2 linked regions of the Pelodiscus sinensis genome follow. The protein of the gene in region 1 interacts with the protein of each later gene in a biochemical or structural test. Links are inferred from orthologs where the notes say so. Each region holds a gene or a part of one and is shown on either strand. Other genes may lie near its edges.

Evidence for each region. The genes of interacting proteins can lie anywhere in the genome.
Region 2: the proteins of SORBS1 (region 1) and FLOT1 form a complex in vitro, tested with the Homo sapiens proteins (2 studies listed by BioGRID). The link is inferred for Pelodiscus sinensis from reciprocal best matches to the Homo sapiens genes SORBS1 and FLOT1.

Annotation. Positions count from the first base shown.
Region 1 is NC_134718.1:4,329,277-4,339,392, forward strand, and holds the start of SORBS1 (sorbin and SH3 domain-containing protein 1), read left to right. Parts: upstream 1-5,525; 5' UTR 5,526-6,305; coding exon 6,306-6,337; intron 6,338-10,116. UniProt on the Homo sapiens protein: Plays a role in tyrosine phosphorylation of CBL by linking CBL to the insulin receptor. Required for insulin-stimulated glucose transport. Involved in formation of actin stress fibers and focal adhesions.
Region 2 is NW_027466009.1:677,527-688,139, reverse strand, and holds the start of FLOT1 (flotillin-1), read right to left. Parts: upstream 4,518-10,613; 5' UTR 4,425-4,517; intron 2,483-4,424; 5' UTR 2,466-2,482; coding exon 2,423-2,465; intron 1,736-2,422; coding exon 1,660-1,735; intron 228-1,659; coding exon 137-227; intron 1-136. UniProt on the Homo sapiens protein: May act as a scaffolding protein within caveolar membranes, functionally participating in formation of caveolae or caveolae-like vesicles.

The DNA of each region.
Region 1 (10,116 bases):
ACGAAGTGGGTCTTTGCCCACGAAAGCTTATGCTCCTACACTTCAGTTAGTCTATAAGGTGCCACAGGACTCCTCGTCGCTTTTGTTCAAAAAGGTATTTCTCACCCAGGCTTTTTTCCAGCCTGGCTGCCAGACTCCCAGGCCCAGACCCTTTACACAGCTCAAAGCGCTCCGTTGCTTTAGATGACAGGTGCCAAAATGGCCTTTTTCTCTCTCCTTGTATCTTCCCAAAGGTCACTGACTCTGCTTCAGGAGTCAGAAAGGCTTCCAGGGGATGCAGGCTTCATCCCCAGTGGCCATGGCCCATTGGGGGCCCTGGGCAAATGGGCACCACTGCACCCCCACCCACTCCACCTGCCTGGCGCTCCTGCCAGTGAGCAGGGCAGGGGCCAGGGGGCTTCCCTGGCCCACCCAGTGCTCCTGCTGTGGTCTGGGGGAAGCCCCCTTGCCCCACCCCTCTTTATAGCAGGAGAACAGAATGTGGGGGGGAGGACTGCAGGGGCCCCCACATGCTTTGGCCCAGGGCCCCATAAAGCTGTAAACTGCCTCTGTCCATCCCCTGTCCAGATTATGTGGTTGCTTATTCCCTCCTGGCCAGCAGGGCCCAGATTAAAACTGGCCCCCTGTAGATAGCAGAAACCCACCCAGCAGGCCTCGCTCTCTCAGGTGCCATCTTTTCTCTGTCTCTCTCTGGAACCTCTCTAAGGCTGGGCAGTAGTCGTGGCTCTTCCACGCTTAATGTTTCAGCTGCCAGCAGGTCCTGAAGTAATTCTGGAGGCCTGTAAAACATCATGTCTCCAGTCAAGCAAAGTCTCTGACATCCCTCTGAGCAGCTTCCTTCTACTCCTTTTCTTCCTCTCTGTTCTCTGTGATTACTGGCTAATTAGGAGAGCATGACAAGATTTTAGGTTGATTGGCTGATATCTGCCCCATGTCTCAAAGGTTCTAACTTCTGGACCAAGGTTGCTTGTTAAAAGAAATAAGACTCCATATCCCTTTATAATGTTATTAGAACACTTAAGCAAAGATAAGAGCAGGGAAACTTTATCACCAAAGCTAAGCTGCTATGCACTAAACTAAGTATAAAGCACAACAACTATTCAGTGCTGGTGAAATCAAACCAACCAATTTACTCAACAGTAATCAGTCCTTCTATAGATTCTAAAAAGGTGGCTGTCTGCTTATAAATACAACTAACGAATGTGATCAGAATCTCAAATCTATCATTTGAATGATTAAGTAACTTGCTATAAAAGCAAATTATTAGCTGATATCTGGACTGCTGCCTTTGAGTCACTCTTCCATCTTCTAAATGAATTGCTCTAACCCCTTCCTCCCACCACAAGAGATGGATTATCACACAGACTTGAATGGAATACTCTTGATAACCCTTGTGCCAGTCAGTGTTGGCAGCAGCAAGGGACGGTTCAGTATCTAGGGGTTCCTTTCCAACAGTGCAACACAAAACCGGCCCAAGCCCTCACGCAGCAGCATGGGACTATTACACACCACCGCCTGGGTGCCTCTAAGAAGCAGCGCTTCCCCTCTCGCAAGCACAGAGTCTGAGTGTAGCAAAAAACTTGTAATAAAAGGAGGGAAGTAATTCAGCATTAATTTGGGAAACCAGTGCAAACAGGGTTCATAAATATTAACCATGAGCAAAAGACCCACCAAACATCTTATCTTCTGGAATCATCATCTTGACAGAGGAAATTTACTTTAAAGTCCATGAATGAAACCCACTCAGCACACTCATTGCATTTTAAGTTTTAGCCAGGGTCTGGCTTCCAGTATACGCTGTTCCTCTTGAGTGCCAAATGGTCGAGTGGTATCACTGAACTCGTGGGTTCAACTTTTGCTTACTGAACACAATTCCACTAGGGGCTCGCACTCAGTCCACGGCCAGGCCTCATGTAGAGGTCGTGCTTGCATTGCTACCTGGGACTGCGCTGAGGTGGCCATGCATGTAGATTGTGCTGGGGCAAAGCTGCCCCATTGTGTGTAGCTCTGAGGGACCAGACTTTTTCTGATTTGGTCTCTTTCCTCCCATCTATTTATCTTCCATGTTTTTTTCTTTCTCCATCTCTCTTTGCTCCCCCATTGTCTGTTTGCCCTTACCTGGAGGGACCTCAGAGACTGTCCCCAAGAAAAGAGATTCCCAAGGTCATCTCTACACTGAAACAGGCTTTTATTCTGTTCCCTGGCTTTCCAGCAACCCTTCCTCCCAACCTGTCCTCCTAGTGGTGGTGCCGGACAGGTTTCATAGTCCCTTGACTGGGGGAGGAGGCAGGGGCCAGGCCCAGGCAGAGTTAAGACTTGACCCCTTTTTAATGCCTCCGCTCTGTACTGCTGTGCTCCTTTTAATGCCTCCGCTCTGTACTGCTGTGCTCCTTTTAATGCCTCCGCTCTGTACTGCTGTGCTCCTTTTAATGCCTCCGCTCTGTACTGCTGTGCTCCTTTTAATGCCTCAGTTCTGCTCTGGGATGACTTCTCTGTCCTTTGGTAAGTGCAATGGACACCGGGGCAGTGGCAGTAATAGTAACACACTTCCCTCCCGCTCTCTCTCTTGCAGGTGTGTGTTACTGTGAAATAATTACATGTGAAAAGAAAGCAGAGTCGCAGGTGGAGAACCGTGACCCTTTCCACTGGGCCTGAATAGTTCAACCAGCTGATTTCAGTGAGTACAGGGGAATGAATGGGAGATAGGGCTGCCATCCAAGGCACAAAAAACTGGGACATTGGAACCCTTTCATCTGGGACAGCTCCTTCTAAAAAGGGAGCTGGGGTAGGAAAATGTTGACAGGTAGCACCAGGCTCAAACCCTGACTTTCAGCACCACAATCACAAACTTCTGTCCTTTCAGCTAATTCCTCTGCAGGTGGCGAGCTGTCCTGTGGGGCCTGGACACAGAGCGGGACAAGGTCTCTCTCTCTCTCTCGCTCCCTGGTTTAGGTAGCCCTTGCGCTCAGTGAGCTAGTCACAGATGGAGGCTTGGGGAAGGTGGATATTCCATCTTGTGAAGCATTTTGAAAGTTGGCTTCATTCTGCACTGAACAAAAGATGAAAATTTTGAAAATTTCCACAAAGAAAAAAATCTGGAAAATACTGGTTCAGGCATTGGACAGAAGAGTTGCCAGCCAGAGTCGTCGTCAGCCTCCGGAGCCTGTTGAGAGCAATCCGGGAGACGTGAATTGGGTATTTTAAGAAAATGACAATACGTCATGTGTAAAATAAGACCTGGACTAGCTTTGGTCAGAGCTGGCAGCCCTTTTGGAAAAGTTGCTTCCCCATGTTTTACAGATGGGGAGGTGAGGCCCTGAAAGACGGAGGGTGGGTCTGCTTAGCAACCCTCTGGCAGTGAGTGTCAGAACCTGGGTCAGCTGACAGGCTCGCAGGGCTGAGAAAGCTGTGCAGGCACTAGGGCGTGGACCTGAGCTCTGAGAGACTCTCATCTCGTACTCTCAAATGGCTGCCCTGCTACCTCCAGCCCCTCATCCGTTGATCTGGCCCCGGGGACTTGCTGCCACTGTCCCTTCTTGCTGTTAGACGCACCCCCAGCCTGTGTGGGCCTGAACTCCCCTCTGGCCAAGGAGGGGAACGGCAGTGCCTCGCCTTGCAGGGCTTCGTCAGGGTAAGTGCCATTGTGACTGCAGCGTGCTGAGGTGCTGTTGGGATGGAGCTGTCGACATGCTGTAGACAGAACAAGTTTTGCATCGACTGCCTGGACAGCTAAGCAAATGCTGCTCTTAGGGAGTTGATTATTGCAGCTTGGCTGAAAAATGCCAGCCAGAGTTGTTGCTCATTCCCAGTCCACTGTGGTGACTCATCTCCCAGCAAGGCTATCGCTGTACTTGGCCAGGGGTGTGAATAGGCTACCCCAAGTGTGTACAGCGCTAGCTCCGCAGGGCAGCTCCTCCCCTGCCTGTTGGGAGGGGGCATTAGGTCGATGGGAGAGCTCTCTGCCGAGGGTCCAGTGGTGCTGCTGTAAGCTCTCAGAGGTGTCCACAGCCGGAGTGTTGGCTTTTAAGATCAGCAGGACGTCAGGCTGTTTGGAGCAGTGGAGCCCCTCAGCAGCTACCCGCCTGATTTCGCTTTAGTCTGTCAGGCGCCCAAAGCCTGACTTTTGTCCGGCCTGCTGTAGAATCTCTGTGTTGTAAGCTCTGTGGTTGGGACGTGCAGATCCCACAAATCCCAGCCCTTGATCAGAACTCCCCTAAACTTTGGATGAAGACCAAACTGCTCCCCGCCCCCAGCCCCACTTTGAAGTAGGAATAAGACCCTCCGGAAAAGGGCGCTTTTTCCGGAGGATCGGGGCCAGTGTAGATGCTCTTTTCCGGCTTTTCTAAAAGCCAGAAAAAAGCGGCGGACATTTTTATTTAAATGCCGCGGGGGATATTTAAATCCCCCGCGGATTTCCCTATTACGATCTCTGAAATTACCATGCCCCTTTCGGAAAAGGGGCCAGTGTAGACGTAGCCATTGTGTTTGCAAGCTACACCTAGAGCCTGATCCAAATTTTGCAAATGGCCTCATCTCCATAATGGGCCAAACATAACCCCTCCAAGTATTAGGCCCTTGGAAATCCAGGTGTGAATTCTGCATACTGGGCTCCTCTCCAGCACCGGTAATGCTGATCAGCCATTGCACGTGTCTCTTGGACTGTGAGGTATATGTGATCAATACTAAACTCAGAAGTCAACTAGATCAGTGCTTACCAGCCTCGTCCTGCACTGGTGCCAGCTTCCCAGGCCAGGATGTCAGCTGCTCCCACTCGGCTAAGGGAGGGATGCTCACCAACCAGCTCAGCTGGAAAATAGAGAAGAGTTTGAGCTGACAAATCTGAAGCTGGGTCTAGATTTCAAATAGCCCTAAAGTGGATGTTAGTCTTCTCCTGTAGGGCTTTTGTTCAGAGCCCTCACTAACGCTGTGTGTGTAAGAAGGATCTGAATTGAGATTAAGCACTCACCTGGCTGGCCAACCAGAGACATGCTTGGCCTGTGTTCATAGAATCAGAGCATAGAACCAGAGAGCTGGAAGAGACCTCAGAAGGCCATCAAGTCCAGCCCCCTGCTCTAGGCAGGACCAATCCCAATTAAAGGAGCAACGCTTTCTCCATCAGTCATGTTTTCTTAGCCTCCTCTCTATTCCGGTTCCTGGGGAGACGGTGGCCTTCCAGACAGTTAATCTCGGTCTGCAGCATGGTCAGCAGCTCTTCAGACTGAAGAGTCCCTGAGAGGGGTTTGGAGCAGCCCAAGGGTGGCTGCAGATGAAAGAGAAGGGAATGGGAAAGAGGCCAGGGAGTACAATGAAGCCCAGAGGCATAAGGGAGAGATGGAGGCTGGAATCCCAGTCATGTAGACCGGAAGTACCAGCCTGCACCACTTCTAATGTGCTGGTCTGGAAGAGATGGCCTGCTGGTAAAGGTGCAGGACGCAGAGCCAAGAACCCCGGGCTGGACTCGCCACTGAGTTTCCAGGACAAGTCACTTGACCCACACCCTGGACGCAGAATGCTACAGTCCCAGACTTTTTGTCTCCTGTGTGCATGCCCGGAAAGAGGGGGAGGCCTTGGTCCCACCCTCCTTCCTTCCCAGATGCCCAGGAGAGCACACGCTATCCTCTGTCCATTTGGCACCACTGCCACTCCAGCATGTGTTCCTCTCTGGGCTTCCCAGGGGAGTCCTGGCCCCGCCAACCTGCCTTCCTTTGGGGCCTCTGCCCCAGCAGGGCTGTGTTTCCCAAGCTTCTGGGCTGCATAATAAATCTCAATCTCTCAGGATGAGAGTTTCTCTCTGTATCATGCCAGGTATTTCCACTCCAGACCTAACTCTGCTGGCAGCGACACATTTGCCAGCCCGTGCTCAAGGGTCTCCAGGGCCTGTAGCTAGATGCTAATCAAACCGTTCCCTGGTAGACACACACACGGCTTGGGTACGGGTGTTTTACGCAGCACTTTCCATGTGCTTAGCCATCACTTCCCTCCTCCCCAATGCATCCATCTCCCGCTCCCCCGCCCCCACCCCGTCTGCTGCCACTGCGTGTCTGCATGATGTCAAGGGCAAAGGAATGCCAGGCAGGCGGGAGGGGGCTGTTGACGGTGAGCAAGCCAAGTGACAGGCTGACATGATTAAGAGCCTGCTGGCTAATTAAAGCACAGAGGTGGGAGGAGCAAAGTATTTAAGGGTGCCCAGGCCTCCCCAAACTCGGGTTATGCTTCAGGGAGCCGAACAGCCCGGAGCAAACCCTGATTGACTCTTTCACACCTTGTCTCTGGAGTCCAAGTGGGGGGCGGGAAGAGCCCAGCAAATGGCACCTTTGACTGAGAAGCCTGGTCCAAGGTAAGGACGCGGCTAGCTGAGTAGTAATTGGCGGGTGCTCAGCGCTCTCAGGAGGATACTGCTGTTGGCTAGGGTGAGCCACTTACCTCCCGGTTCCCTTGCTGTGTCATAAGCCACTGGTTAAGGGAAGGAGCTGTCAGATGGTTTTGCAATGGATCTCTGTTGCTCTGGTTCCTGGAGATGTGTGAATCCTGGCCTATCTGCAGCCCCTGGGGGGACTGGAGGCAATACCTCAGTTTCCCAGCTTGGGCCTGCCTGTCTCTGAACTCAAAGCAGTGGGCACGAGTCGGCGCTTTGGCGCAGGCCCATGTGGATTGGACTCAGATGGCAAATTAGTTTGTTTTTATCCTTCACTTACTAACTTTTCTGGGCCAGGTGTTTCTCTGGTTGTGGAGCTGGACAAAGGAGAACAATGTGACTTTAAAAGGCGGTTTGGTTTGATGTTCCGCTGTTCCTGCAGGGGGGTGAAATCTGAGATCAGACGTTAGCTGCAGCCTCCCCGCCTATGGCATTTTAGACCTGCCTTCAGCGGAGACCCTCTTACCCCGGTGCTGGAGATGCCCTAGGAAAGGTGGCTTCTGCCTCCGTGGTTCCCTCTGTCAGCTGCTGTCAGAGGCGGCATGGCCTGTTGGCCTGAGTGCAGGACAGGCAGCCAGCACACTTGGGCTGCTGCTTGCTCTGTCTCTGGCTGTCGCCAAGCCCCTGTGGCCATCAGTCTGGGGTTCTGCCGTGGCCCTTTTGTGCTGCCTGCACTGGACATGAAGCCAGAGGAGGAGCCCCTGGTCATTCCTGTGGCATAGGAGGGTCCTCTGGATGCCAATGGACCCACCTCCCCTTGCAGCGCCTGAGCAAGGAGCATGCCAGGGCTCTGCCTGGTGAAACATGCGGCACCCCAGGCTGGCCTTCGCTCTTGCAATGCTCCGTGGGATTGTTGCAGCCACCCTCAGGCTGCTGTAGGTGCTTGTGCTGGGGGCATCAGAGGGCTCCACCCAGAATCTGGTTCCCTCAATTCTGCCCCTCCTCCCCATCCTGCATGTGGAGCTCTACTACAGTTCAGAACTGGGTCTGTCTGTCCACTTCCCTGTCTTTGTGGGAGGGGGCAGGGGCGGCTGGCATCTAAAGAGGCGAGCTAGGCAGTCACCTAGGGCGCCAAGTTAAATGGGGCGCCAAATGGTGGCACAATATCATGGAGGGGTTTGGAGGTGGGGGCGCCAATTACATGGTTTGCCTAGGGCGCCAGTTGCTGCCAGCTAGTCTAAGGCCACCCCTGGGGGGGGTCTGTTAATTGCCTGCCTTCGGAAGGGGTGGAGTGCAGGGGTTTGTGCAGCACAGAGGGAAATGTACTGCTACATGTTGGCTGCTGTCAGAGAGCCAGGGTTTGCCAGCAGTTAGCACAGCAAGTGTGTTTCCCTGATCCTGAGACAGTAACCTTGCTATCAGATATTCTAGCCGTGGTGACGGCTAGTAAATGGTTGCTTTATTTGTGAACTTCTGACTAATCTTAAAATTAGAAGTGGGCCTGAAGCAGTACCTTTCCCCACCTCCACACATTTGTACAGCCCTGAAGATCTGCAGATACCCACTTCATGTCCACGGGTATCCACAGATCGTTTCTGCACATGTGGATGTGGCTATCACCAATTTGTATTTGCGTAGGGCTCCACACATCTGGGGAGAATTTGTGTCTGGATCTGAACTTTGTGGTTGGGGTTGATTTCTACTTAAAATGTACAATAATAATGTTGGGTCTCCTTCCTATTAGTGGTGGCTTATAACTTGAGAGTTTTCATCAATGTCAACTTGCAGTATCCAAGCCATTGTACATATAAGGTGCACTTCCAGGTGGGGAACATGCAGTTTGGTGTGACCGTGTCGCTGCATCTAAATCCCGTGGCCAGCACAATGAGGCGTGGCTTTAAGACTGAGAACTATTAGCATTTCTGGCATCTGCCACCATGGTTGGATCTGTTTGTTCAGAACCATTTTCCAAGGCAGCCACTGACTTTAGGCACCAGTAGCCCCATAGCTACCGAGTGACTCCAAGTAGCCTGTAAAGAGCTGGAGCCAAATGAATCCCATGTGTACAGTTCTAAAAGCGACCTCCTCCCAGCCAGCTTTATGTGCCTTTTATGGGTCTTAGGGCACTTTTTGCAAGAGCACAGGGTATAACCCAGTGTCGTTAACTTCACTTCTTCTCATTAACTCTGTCCAAACTGAATTCCTGCTAATTACATTCTCCTTTAACCAGCATTGTCCCTCTCAAGTGAGACTTGCCAAAAAATTGTCTAGTGGATTTATATGCCTGTGGAGTGGGTGTTTGAATCCTCCATGCAGCCATACAAACCTCAACCCAGTATAGTCTAAGCCAGTATAGCCAAGGAAACAACCCCTCTGACGTACCCAGATCATTAAAGATTTGAGATTCCTACCACGGGGTCATATTCTATAGCCCTCCCAGTGACTCAAAAGCATGTGTCCTTACACTGAACTATTAATGAGTTGTTTGTTATCTCTTGCTATTGTAGGGAGACCCTGGAATGCTTGAAACATGTGAGATAATCCACAGACATGCTGTACAGAAGTAGTCACTGCGTATCTGCATTCCTTCCAACTAGGATTCCATCACTCTCTTTTCCACACCAAGTAGGGAAAGAGCTGTGGTCTCAGAAGAAATGCGCTGAGACTAAAAGGGATGACGAAGTCATTAAAAGTCTGCCTAGAGGTGTAGGGATGCTGTAACATAGATGGAGGCACATTCAAGATCAGAAACTTCTGGCCTACGCCCAGGGGCAACCCGTCCATATAGGCGAACTAGGCGGTTGCCTAGGGCGCCAAGTTAAATGGGTTGCCAAATGGTGGCCTAATATCATGGAGGGGTTTGGAGGTGGGGGTGCCGATTGCATGGTTCGCCTAGGGCGCCAGTGGCTGGCAGCTAGTCTAGGGCCACCCCTGCCTACGCCCTTGGGAATTCCTTACCTGCCATCATGTCTTACATTTGTTTAGCTCAGAGGTTTCTGCTGATGTTAGTGTCACATTTCAGCAAAGGCATTCTTTAGGGTTTGCTGGAGAGCAGCATTGTCCACTGGCTAGAGCAGGGTGCTAGAAGGAAGGGAACTTGGGCTCTATTTCTGGTTTTGCTGAACTGCTTCTTCCAGCTATAAAATGGACATGACGGATACCATCTGCCACTGATCTGAGATGCTCATGTATAGACTTGCACGGCAGTAGCAGTATTTAAAACTGTCTATCGACATAGGCTCCAATTTTGGAGAACAGTCTCTATTCATGAAAGCACTTAAGCACACCTTTAACTTTAAAGTCAGCGACACTGAAGTTAAGCACCTGGGAGCCTAGCAGCAGGAGTAACTGTGATCCTGATTTAGGAAAGCACACGCTAGCCTTGAAGCATAGCCTTGAGTGCTTTCCTCATTTGGGACCATAACCCCTGCTGCCTGCTCGTAACTAAACCTTGCCCTCAGATTCTTGCCTGGTGTAAACCAGCTTTGCACGCTGTAGTCTGGGGGACATGCTGGTTCCTGCCCGTCGTGCATCTCCCTCCCGCCACCTTTTTATGGGCTCTGGACTGTTTGTGGATTCAGTTGGGTGTTTCAGTGACATTGATCCACTTGACCGTTATCAGGCACAAGTGCAAACTGTATTAATTAAACTCAGTGAAAGCCATGGACATGAGCATATAGACTGTCAGGCTGTGTCTCTGCTGCTTCTGGGTAGCTGTTCGCTCTAGCAGCGGGAGACTGTCCCATCACCAAAGTCCAGCC
Region 2 (10,613 bases), on another chromosome or scaffold:
AATGGGGGAAGTATAGGGTCGAGGGGGTGCCAGTGGCAGGTACCACTGCGGGGGACGGGGGTACCTGGCTAGTTTCCTAGGTGTTCCCGCCTCCCCAGGGTTTCTATGGCGACCTCGCAGCTGGGGAAGCGGTTACCTGGGCGATGCCGGTGACGGAGATGGGGACCCCGTGCCGGGTATAAACCTTCTCGCTCTTCACGTTCAGGGTCAGGGTGTTCAGGGAGATCCTGTGGACGGGACACCCCCATGTCATGACCCAAAGACCTATGTACCCCACATCCCCACCCCCCACACGCTGCCCCTCTTCTGACCCGTCTCGAATCCCTCCCCAGTGCCGGCAAGCCCAGTGGGGCGGTGGGAGGGCCCCAGCGGCTCAGAAAGTTGGGAATCATTGAAAAAGGGGTCTTACGAATATTTCCGAAAGTTAGTTTGTTGGTCCCGAAAGATCTCCGAAACGGTCAGAGCTAGAAACGCCAAATTTGGCACGGATCCCACTGACTTCCTAACGTAAATAACTGGGTTGGTTTTATCTCGAAATCGGTTCCCCCAGAGCCCGAATTGGGCCACTCATTAGCTTTTAGTAGCGCCTGATCATAGGCATTTGCTGGACTCTTCTGTGAAGCATGTCACACGAACTGCAACTACGAGATCGTTTCCCTACGATAACAGGAAAAGTACCAGCTGGGTTCATTTCTTAAAGTAAAATATCAGAGAAAAGGATTTCCAATAAAATACGCAATGTAGTTCATTCATCACACCTTTTACTATATTTTCCCCGGGCGACGCCGGGTATTTCTGCTAGTAGAAAATAAGACAGAGAATATCTTATTGCCTCCATATAAACCCATGGGACGCCCACAGCTTGAATACTGTGTACAGATGAGGTCGCCTTGTCTCAAAAAAGATCTCTTGGCATTGGAAAAGGTTCAGAAAAGAACAACTAAAATGATGAGGGGTTTAGAACGGGTCCCGTGTGAAGAGATGAAAAAGACTGGGACTTCTCAGCTTAGAAAAGAGGAGACAGAGGGGATAGGACAGAGGTCTATAAAATCATGAGTGGAGTGGAGAAAGTGAATAAGGAAAAGTTATTTACTTGTTCTCATAATCAGGGCTTGAGGAACCGCGGCGAAAGACGCTCGCCAGCCCCGCATTGCACATGCACGTGCCACCGGTAAACGGGGCGCCAGGCTGAAATCTACTCGCCACGGGCGAGTAGATTCAATAGATTGTCAAGCCCTGCTCATAATATAAGAACTAGGGGTTGCCAAATGAAATTAATAGGTGGCAGGTTTAAAACAAACAAAAGGAAGAGTTTTTCTTCACGTCGTGCACAGTCAACCTGTGGAACTCCTTGCCAGAGGACATTGTGAAGACCAGGACTTTAACTGGGTTTAAAAAAGAGCTAGGTAGATTCATGGAGGGTAGGTCCATCATAGCTATTAGCCAGGATGGGCAGGGAGGGGTCCCTGGCCTCTGTTTGTCAGAAGCTGGGGAATGAGCGACAGGGGAGGGATCATTATATGATTCCCTGTTCTGTTCACTCCCTCTGGGGCATCTGGCACTGGCCACTGTGAGCCGACAGGACACGGGGCTGGACGGACCTTTGGTCTCAACCGGTATGGCCGTTCCTATGTTCAGATCTCTGCGGTGGGGACTTACCTCTGGATCTGTTGGATGCAGGGCAGGACGAAGACCCGGCCCCCGGCCACCATCACTGGGGGGCTGCGGCAGAAGCCTAGCGGGGAGGGGAGCAGAGTGTTAGTTGCCGTCGGGCACTAAGATGCAGCTGCTTCTGGGGCGGGGCGGCTGGGGAAACAGCCGCATAGAACAGGGACGCAGCACGGGGCTGAGACGCGGCCGCCGCTGGGGAACGGGCAATTGGAAACCAGCAGGGAAATCTTAAGGAGGCAGGAAGTGAACTCGGATTTTAAATCTTGTCTGGAATCAGAAAGCCCCGCCCCAATCCCCACAGCCCAGCGCCTCCTGCTGAGCCCCCGCCCTGCTCCCCGTGGCCTAGCCTGGCCCAGAAAAGAGGATTTGATTGTTTACCGTTGGATTAGCTCCAGGGTCCCATCCCCTGGGAACTGGTGACGTCATCCTGTCTCAAATCCCGTCTCTTCGCTGCCGGGTATCCAGAGGGGCAGGGAATGGGGCAGGGGCCTGGCCCCTCTAGGCCCCAGGGCAGGGCCTGGCTGGTGAGGGTGGAGGGGGGGCAGGGGCCTGGTCTGGGTTTCCCCTGGGGATCCGGGTTACGGAGCTTGTGACTTTGGGCCTGGGACTCAGCCGGGCTGTCAGGGCTGGGGCGGGGAGTGTGGGAGGTCCCAAGACAGGAAGGGACTGGGGGGGGGCATCGGGCTCCCCCCCCCCACCCCCGGGACTGGCTTCTCCCATGTGAGAGCGGGGGGGGGGGGGAGCCACTCACCGGAGACCACCATCGCCTCGTTGGGGCCACAGGTGAAGAACATCCCGGGGCTGAGGGAACCTGAAAGAGAAGAGAGACTCATGGAACCCAGGCCCCCCCCCCCCCGGCTCTAACCACTAGCCCCCGCTCCCCTCCCAGAGCTGGGGGGAGAACCCAGGAGTCCTGGCAATCCCCCAGCGGTGGGTGATCACTACCGACCTCTCCCTGGCCAGACTCCAGCTGGATCAGACCCCAGCGGCCCCCAGGACCCCCCATCTCAGCCCCACAGAGCCACTGCTGGGTCTGTCCGTGCCGCCCCCCCCGCACCTGTGCACCCCAAGTCACCGCCCCCCCAGCAGCCTGTGCACTGACTGCCCTGCACCCCTGGCTCCAGCTGCGCCCCCCCCCCGGAATTAGCCACCTGCCCCCTCACTGCTCCTGCGGCCCCTGAAACCCCCTCCCCTGCACCCCCAGCTCCAGCGCCCCCCAGTGTTAGCCTCTTGCCCCCTCCCTGCCCCTGCGGCCCCCAATCCCCCTGCGCCCCCTGATCCCCCTGCACCCCCCACCCCTGCATCCCCTGATCCCCCTGCCCCTCCTGCACCCCCCAACCCTACCCTGCTCCTGCCCTCCAATCTCTTTGTGTCCCCCCTGCCCCTGCACCCCCAACCCCTGATCCTCCTGCACCCCCCTGAGCCCCCCGGCCCTTGCACCCCCCTGGCCCCTGCACCCCCCTGAACCCCCCGGCCCTTGCACCCCCCCGCCCCTGCACCCCCCTGAGTCCCCCGGCCCTTGCACCCCCCCGCCCCTGCACCCCCCTGAGCCCCCCGGCCCTTGCACCCCCCCGCCCCTGCACCCCCCTGAACTCCCCGGCCCTTGCACCCCCCCGCCCCTGCACCCCCCTGAGCCCCCCGGCCCTTGCACCCCCCCGGCCCTGCACCCCCCTGAGCCCCCCGGCCCTTGCACCCCCCCGCCCCTGTACCCCCCTGAGCCCCCCGGCCCTTGCACCCCCCGCCCCTGCACCCCCCTGAGTCCCCCGGCCCTTGGACCCCCCCGCCCCTGCACCCCCCTGAGTTCCCCGGCCCTTGCAGCCCCCGCCCCTGCACCCCCCTGAGCCCCCCGGCCCTTGCACCCCCCCGCCCCTGTACCCCCCTGAGTCCCCCGGCCCTTGCACCCCCCCGCCCCTGTACCCCCCTGAGTCCCCCGGCCCTTGCACCCCCCCGCCCCTGTACCCCCCTGAGTCCCCCCGGCCCTTGCACCCCCCCGCCCCTGCACCCCCCTGAGTCCCCCGGGCCTTGCACCCCCCCGCCCCTGCACCCCCCTGAACCCCCCGGCCCTTGCACCCCCCGCCCCTGTACCCCCCTGAGCCCCCCGGCCCTTGCACCCCCCCGCCCCTGCACCCCCCTGAGTCCCCCGGCCCTTGCACCCCCCCGCCCCTGTACCCCCCTGAGTCCCCCGGCCCTTGCACCCCCCCGCCCCTGTACCCCCCTGAGTCCCCCGGCCCTTGCACCCCCCCGCCCCTGTACCCCCCTGAGTCCCCCCGGCCCTTGCACCCCCCCGCCCCTGCACCCCCCTGAGTCCCCCGGGCCTTGCACCCCCCCGCCCCTGCACCCCCCTGAACCCCCCGGCCCTTGCACCCCCCGCCCCTGTACCCCCCTGAGCCCCCCGGCCCTTGCACCCCCCCGCCCCTGCACCCCCCTGAGCCCCCCGGCCCTTGCACCCCCCGCCCCTGCACCCCCCTGAGCCCCCCGGCCCTGGCACCCCCCGCCCCTGCACCCCCCTGAGTCCCCCCGGCCCTTGCACCCCCCCGCCCCTGCACCCCCCTGAACCCCCCGGCCCTTGCACCCCCCCGCCCCTGCACCCCCCTGAGCCCCCCGGCCCTTGCACCCCCCCGCCCCTGCACCCCCCTGAGCCCCCCGGCCCTTGCACCCCCCCGCCCCTGCACCCCCCTGAGCCCCCCGGCCCTGGCACCCCCCGCCCCTGCACCCCCCTGAGTCCCCCCGGCCCTTGCACCCCCCCCGCTCACCGCGTCTCCGGCTCCTGGCTCCGCGCGAGGGTCCAGCCGCAACCAGGCGCCCCGCCCCGCACCCCCAGTGTCCCGTCGGCCCCCGCGCGCTGCCCCACTGCTGCCACCTGCCGGCCCCCCACGTGGCAGCGGCAAAGTCTGTGTGTGGGGGGGGAGCAAATTCCCCGGGATCCCCCCCGCGGGCGGGCAGGGGCTGTGGGCCGGGAGTGGAGGACCCTGGGGGGGCAGGGGCTGTGGATGGGGGGCACTGGGGGGGCAGGGGCTGTGGATGGGGAGGGGCACTGGGGGGGCAGGGGCTGTGGATGGGGGGCACTGGCAGGGCTGGGGGGGCAGGGGCTGTGGATGGGGGGCACTGGCAGGGCTGGGGGGGCAGGGGCTGTGGATTGGGAGGGGCACTGGGGGGGCAGGGGCTGTGGATGGGGGGCACTGGCAGGGCTGGGGGCAGGGGCTGTGGATGGGGGGCACTGGCAGGGCTGGGGGCAGGGGCTGTGGATGGGGAGGGGCACTGGGGGGGCAGGGGCTGTGGATGGGGGGCACTGGCAGGGCTGGGGGTAGGGGCTGTGGATTGGGAGGAGCACTGGGGGGGGCAGGGGCTGTGGATGGGGGGCACTGGCAGGGCTGGGGGTAGGGGCTGTGGATTGGGAGGGGCACTGGGGGGGCAGGGGCTGTGGATGGGGGGCACTGGCAGGGCTGGGGGGTAGGGGCTGTGGATTGGGAGGGGCACTGGGGGGGCAGGGGCTGTGGATGGGGGGCACTGGCAGGGCTGGGGGGTAGGGGCTGTGGATGGGGAGGGGCACTGGGGGGGCAGGGGCTGTGGATGGGGGGCACTGGCAGGGCTGGGGGGTAGGGGCTGTGGATGGGGAGGGGCACTGGGGGGGCAGGGGCTGTGGATGGGGGGGGCACTGGCAGGGCTGGGGGGTAGGGGCTGTGGATTGGGAGGGGCACTGGGGGGGCAGGGGCTGTGGATGGGGGGCACTGGCAGGGCTGGGGGGTAGGGGCTGTGGATTGGGAGGGGCACTGGGGGGGCAGGGGCTGTGGATGGGGGGCACTGGCAGGGCTGGGGGGTAGGGGCTGTGGATTGGGAGGGGCACTGGGGGGGCAGGGGCTGTGGATGGGGGGCACTGGCAGGGCTGGGGGGGCAGGGGCTGTGGATTGGGAGGGGCACTGGGGGGGCAGGGGCTGTGGATGGGGGGCACTGGCAGGGCTGGGGGGGCAGGGGCTGTGGATTGGGAGGGGCACTGGGGGGGCAGGGGCTGTGGATGGGGGGCACTGGCAGGGCTGGGGGCAGGGGCTGTGGATGGGGGGCACTGGCAGGGCTGGGGGCAGGGGCTGTGGATGGGGAGGGGCACTGGGGGGGCAGGGGCTGTGGATGGGGGGCACTGGCAGGGCTGGGGGTAGGGGCTGTGGATTGGGAGGGGCACTGGGGGGGCAGGGGCTGTGGATGGGGGGCACTGGCAGGGCTGGGGGGTAGGGGCTGTGGATTGGGAGGGGCACTGGGGGGGCAGGGGCTGTGGATGGGGGGCACTGGCAGGGCTGGGGGGTAGGGGCTGTGGATGGGGAGGGGCACTGGGGGGGCAGGGGCTGTGGATGGGGGGCACTGGCAGGGCTGGGGGGTAGGGGCTGTGGATGGGGAGGGGCACTGGGGGGGCAGGGGCTGTGGATGGGGGGCACTGGCAGGGCTGGGGGGTAGGGGCTGTGGATGGGGAGGGGCACTGGGGGGGCAGGGGCTGTGGATGGGGGGCACTGGCAGGGCTGGGGGGTAGGGGCTGTGGATGGGGAGGGGCACTGGGGGGGCAGGGGCTGTGGATGGGGGGGGCACTGGCAGGGCTGGGGGGTAGGGGCTGTGGATTGGGAGGGGCACTGGGGGGGCAGGGGCTGTGGATGGGGGGCACTGGCAGGGCTGGGGGGTAGGGGCTGTGGATTGGGAGGGGCACTGGGGGGGCAGGGGCTGTGGATGGGGGGCACTGGCAGGGCTGGGGGGTAGGGGCTGTGGATTGGGAGGGGCACTGGGGGGGCAGGGGCTGTGGATGGGGGGCACTGGCAGGGCTGGGGGGTAGGGGCTGTGGGTTGGGAGGGGCACTGGGGGGCAGGGGGCTGTGGATGGGGGGCACTGGCAGGGCTGGGGGTAGGGGCTGTGGATTGGGAGGGGCACTGGGGGGGCAGGGGCTGTGGTTGTGGGGAGTACTGGGGGGGCTGGGGCTGTGGATGGGGGGGGAGTCAACTCTGGTGTTTTAGTGAGCGCCCCCCCCCTTTCCAGGCAGACTCAGGGTGTGAGGCTTCTTGTCCCAAACCCCAGGGGGCCAGCAGGTGGCGCACGGGGCCCATAGTCCCGCGGGGTGGGGGGGGATCAGCTGACTGGAGGGGGAGAAATGTTCCAGTTCCCCTGTGTGTTGGGGGGTAGGTGCCCAGCCGGTAACACCCCTCCCCGGCTCTTCTGGGTGCCCCCAGAGGGAGCCCCCGCCCCCCAACCAGCCGCCCACGTCCCTGCCCCACGCCCCATGGGGGGCAGAGGGGGTCGGCCGGCCAGGGGTCGGTGGGTGCCCAGGCAGAGACCCAGCAAACTCGTTCCACAGAGCTGGGCTCACTGGAGTGCTCAGAACCGGGGCCCCCCAGAGGGGCCAGACCCCTGCCCCCCTGCCTGCCAGAGCTGGTATTTCTACTCCTTGGCCCCTCAGCGGGGCGTTGTGTGGGGCGGGCGGGAGGCGGGCGTGTGGGTCTCACCGTGGGGCAGTGCAGCGGGCGGGCCCAGCCTGGAAACTAGGAGTTTGGGCAGTTCCCAGCCTCCGCCTGGGCCCCGGGTCAGCCCTTGCTAGCCTGTTTCCTCAGCTGGTCTGGGGTGTGTGACCAGGCATGTGAGTGTGTGCACACGCCCAGGCTGGCCTGCTACACACACACACACACACACACACACACACACACACACAGTGAACCCTGGAGAGCCAGGGGTGAGACCCAGGAGTCCTGGCTCCCCTCCTCCCCCTGCTCTAACCACTAGCCCCCGCTCCCCTCCCAGAGTCGGGGCGAGAACCCAGGAGTCCTGCGTAGGCCGCGCTGGGTTGTGTCCGCGGCTGCAGGCGCTGTCTGCCCGTGGGCGCTGGTTATATTTAACCCTCCACTCGTGGCCCAAACAGGTGCCGCCGGGAACCCGCCGTCCCTCTGCCCCCGCCGAGAGCCGTGAATAGCCCCTTATCAGGCCTTGCCGCCGGGCTTATCCTTGGGCCAAGGGCGCCGGGCGCGGCTCGCCCAGGCCTCGCTGCCTGGGAGTTTAGTGCTAAAAATATCCCGGAGGGGCGAGTCGACTGGGAGGGCGGGTCGGTAGGGCTGGGGGTGGCTGGACAGCCAGATACCAGCGAGATTAGCTGGTTCCAGCTCATGGTTGGGAGGGAGATAAGGCCGGAAGGACAGCGGCTGAGTCCTTCCTGGCATGGTTCCTAATGTTTTCCATCCATGCGTGGAATAAATGTTGTGCTATGCACCAAGGCCGGTGTGGATGCGCACCCACACAGAAAAGCACAGACTGCCAGCAAGGTTCCTGCTATTTTTTCCATCCATGTGTGGAATAAAGTTTGTGTGGCGCACCAAGGCCTGAGCAGACATGCACTACCCCGAGAAGCACTTACTCCCACAAGGTTCCTGCTAATTTTTCCCACCCATGCCGGTCTGGATGTGCACCATGCAGAGAAGCACAAACTTCCATCAAGGTCCCTGCTAATTTTTTTTCCATCTATGTGTGGGATAAATTTTATACTACTCACCAAGGCCAGTGCGGATGTGCACCACCCAGAGAAGCACAGACTGCCGGCAAGGTCCCTGCTAATTTTTTTCCATCCACGTGTGGAATAAATATTGTATGGCACACCAAGGCCTGTGCAGATGCACACCACTCAGAGAAGCACGTACTGCTGCAAGGTCCATGCTATTTTTTCCCCATCCATGTATGGAATAAATTTTGAGCTGCTCACCAATGCCTGTGCAGATGCGCACCACCCAGTGACATACTTACTGCCAGCAAGGTTCCTATTTTTTCCATCCACATGTGGAATAAATGTTGTGCTGCGCACCAAGGCCCGTTCAGATGCGCACCACCCAGAGAAGCTCAGATTGCCGAAAGGTCCCTGCCCTTTTCAACTTGGGCACCTCTTCCTCGAAACGCGGTACCCAGAAGTGGCCGCAGCGCAGCCGCTGGCGGGGGGTGCGAATCAATGTGGGGCAGAGCGGAAGGATTGCTCCACATTTCCTGCTTACACCACGCCGGTTCATGCCTCCCCCATGACGTCTGTGGTGTGCTTGTGCAACCCTGTCACACTGCTGACTCATGCTGAGTTTACAGCCCACTCCGACCCCTAAGTCCCTCTCCGCAATCCTCCTTCTGAGACGGCCGCTTCCTGTTCTGCGTGCGCCACACGGCTTGGTTCTCCGCAAGTGGAGCCCTTCGGACTTGTCCTTGTTGAACTTCATCCTGTTTGCCTCCGACCATGTCTCCAGTGCGCCCAGCTCAGTTTGAATTCGGACCCCGTCCCCCAAATCACTTGCCTCCCCTCCCAGTTTGGGATTAGCTGCGAACTTAAGAAGCATCCTCGCTATGCCAATATCGAAATCACGGATGAAGATATTGAACAGGGCCGGTCCTAGAGCCCATCCCTGTAGGACCCTACTTGTTATACCCTTGCAGCATACGAATGGCCAGCCTGGATCAGACCAAAGGTCCATACAGCCCACAGTGGCCAACGCCAGGTGCCCCAGAGGGAGGGAACACAACAGGTAATCCTCATGTGTCCCTCCCGTGTCACTCGGACAAACAGAGACTAGGGACACTGGCAAACGGCCATTGAAGGACCTAACCGCCATGAATTTATCTAGTTCTTTTTTGAACCCTGTTCAAGTCCTGATCTTCAGCACATCCTCTGGCGAGGAGTTCCACAGGTTGGCGATGCGCTGCATGAAGAAAAACTTCCTTGTGTTGGTTTGAAACCTGCTGCCTGTTCATTTCATTGCGTGATCCCTCCTCCTTATATTGTGGGAACAAGTACATAATTCTTCCTTAATCACTTTCTCCACACCAGTCCTGATTTTATAGACCTCGATCCTATCCCTCCTCAGTCTCCTCTTTTCTAAGCTGAAACCTCCCAGCCTTTTTCATCTCTCTTCAGATGGGACCCGTTCCAAACCCTGAATCATTTTTGGTGCCTTTTTCTGAACTTTTTTCCAAGGCATCTTTTTTTAGATGAGCTGACCGCATCTGTATGCAGTATTCAAGCTGTGGGCGTACCATGGGTTTACAGAGGCACTAAATATTCTGTCTTGTTCTCTAGCCCTTTTTGAATGATTCCAAACATTTTTTGGGGGTGATGCTGAGCACCGAGCATGACTGGGAACCCCTTGGTATCTACTCTCTGGGGACAGTAGCCCAGCCCGCTGCAACCCCGCCTTACAGAAACCCCGTGCAGGTTGGATTTCCCTCGTGTACGAGACCATCACAGGAGGCCCAGCTGAAGGCTAGGTGTACCACATCTGCCACTTCCCCCTTAGCCACAAGGCTTGTGACCCTGCTAAAAGTAACAAGCCACTTGGATGGGACTCCGGAAATCCACCCTGCAGGGGTAGACGAGAACTCGAGCCTGTGTCCTGAGTCCCAGACAGCTCCTGCACTAACCACTAGACCCCACTCTCTCTGCAGCTGGGAAACAGAACCCAGGAGTCCCCATCTCCCAGCACCCTCAGAAATGGGCTAGTTTAAGCACCCCAAGGCCTGTCCCCAATCAGCCAGGGCCAGTGAGAATAAGGTTGGCAGGTGTCCGGTTTTCACCCCCATTGTTCGGTATTTGGCTTTAAAAAAACCAGAAAATACCAGACACGTGAAACGTCCGGTATTTCCTGGTTCCCTTGGACGGAAACCGGGCCGGGACAGTTTTCTGCTGCTGCATCTGGCAGGAGCTCAACTTTGGTCTCCCCCTTCCCTTTTGCTCAACAACTCTGGTCTCTTCTCCCCCCCACCCATTTTTTTGGGGCTCAACCAAGCTTGCCACACTCGGCCTTTTTGTTGAAAGTCTCTGGCAAGCCTAATGATGGAACACTTGGGATGTAGCAAAGGGGCGGAGCTTGGCAGGGAGAAGCCCCAGGGTGGGAGATGGACGATTAGCTCACCCCCCGCAAAACAGGGACTTCGTTTGCTGGTTTCTCCACTCGAGT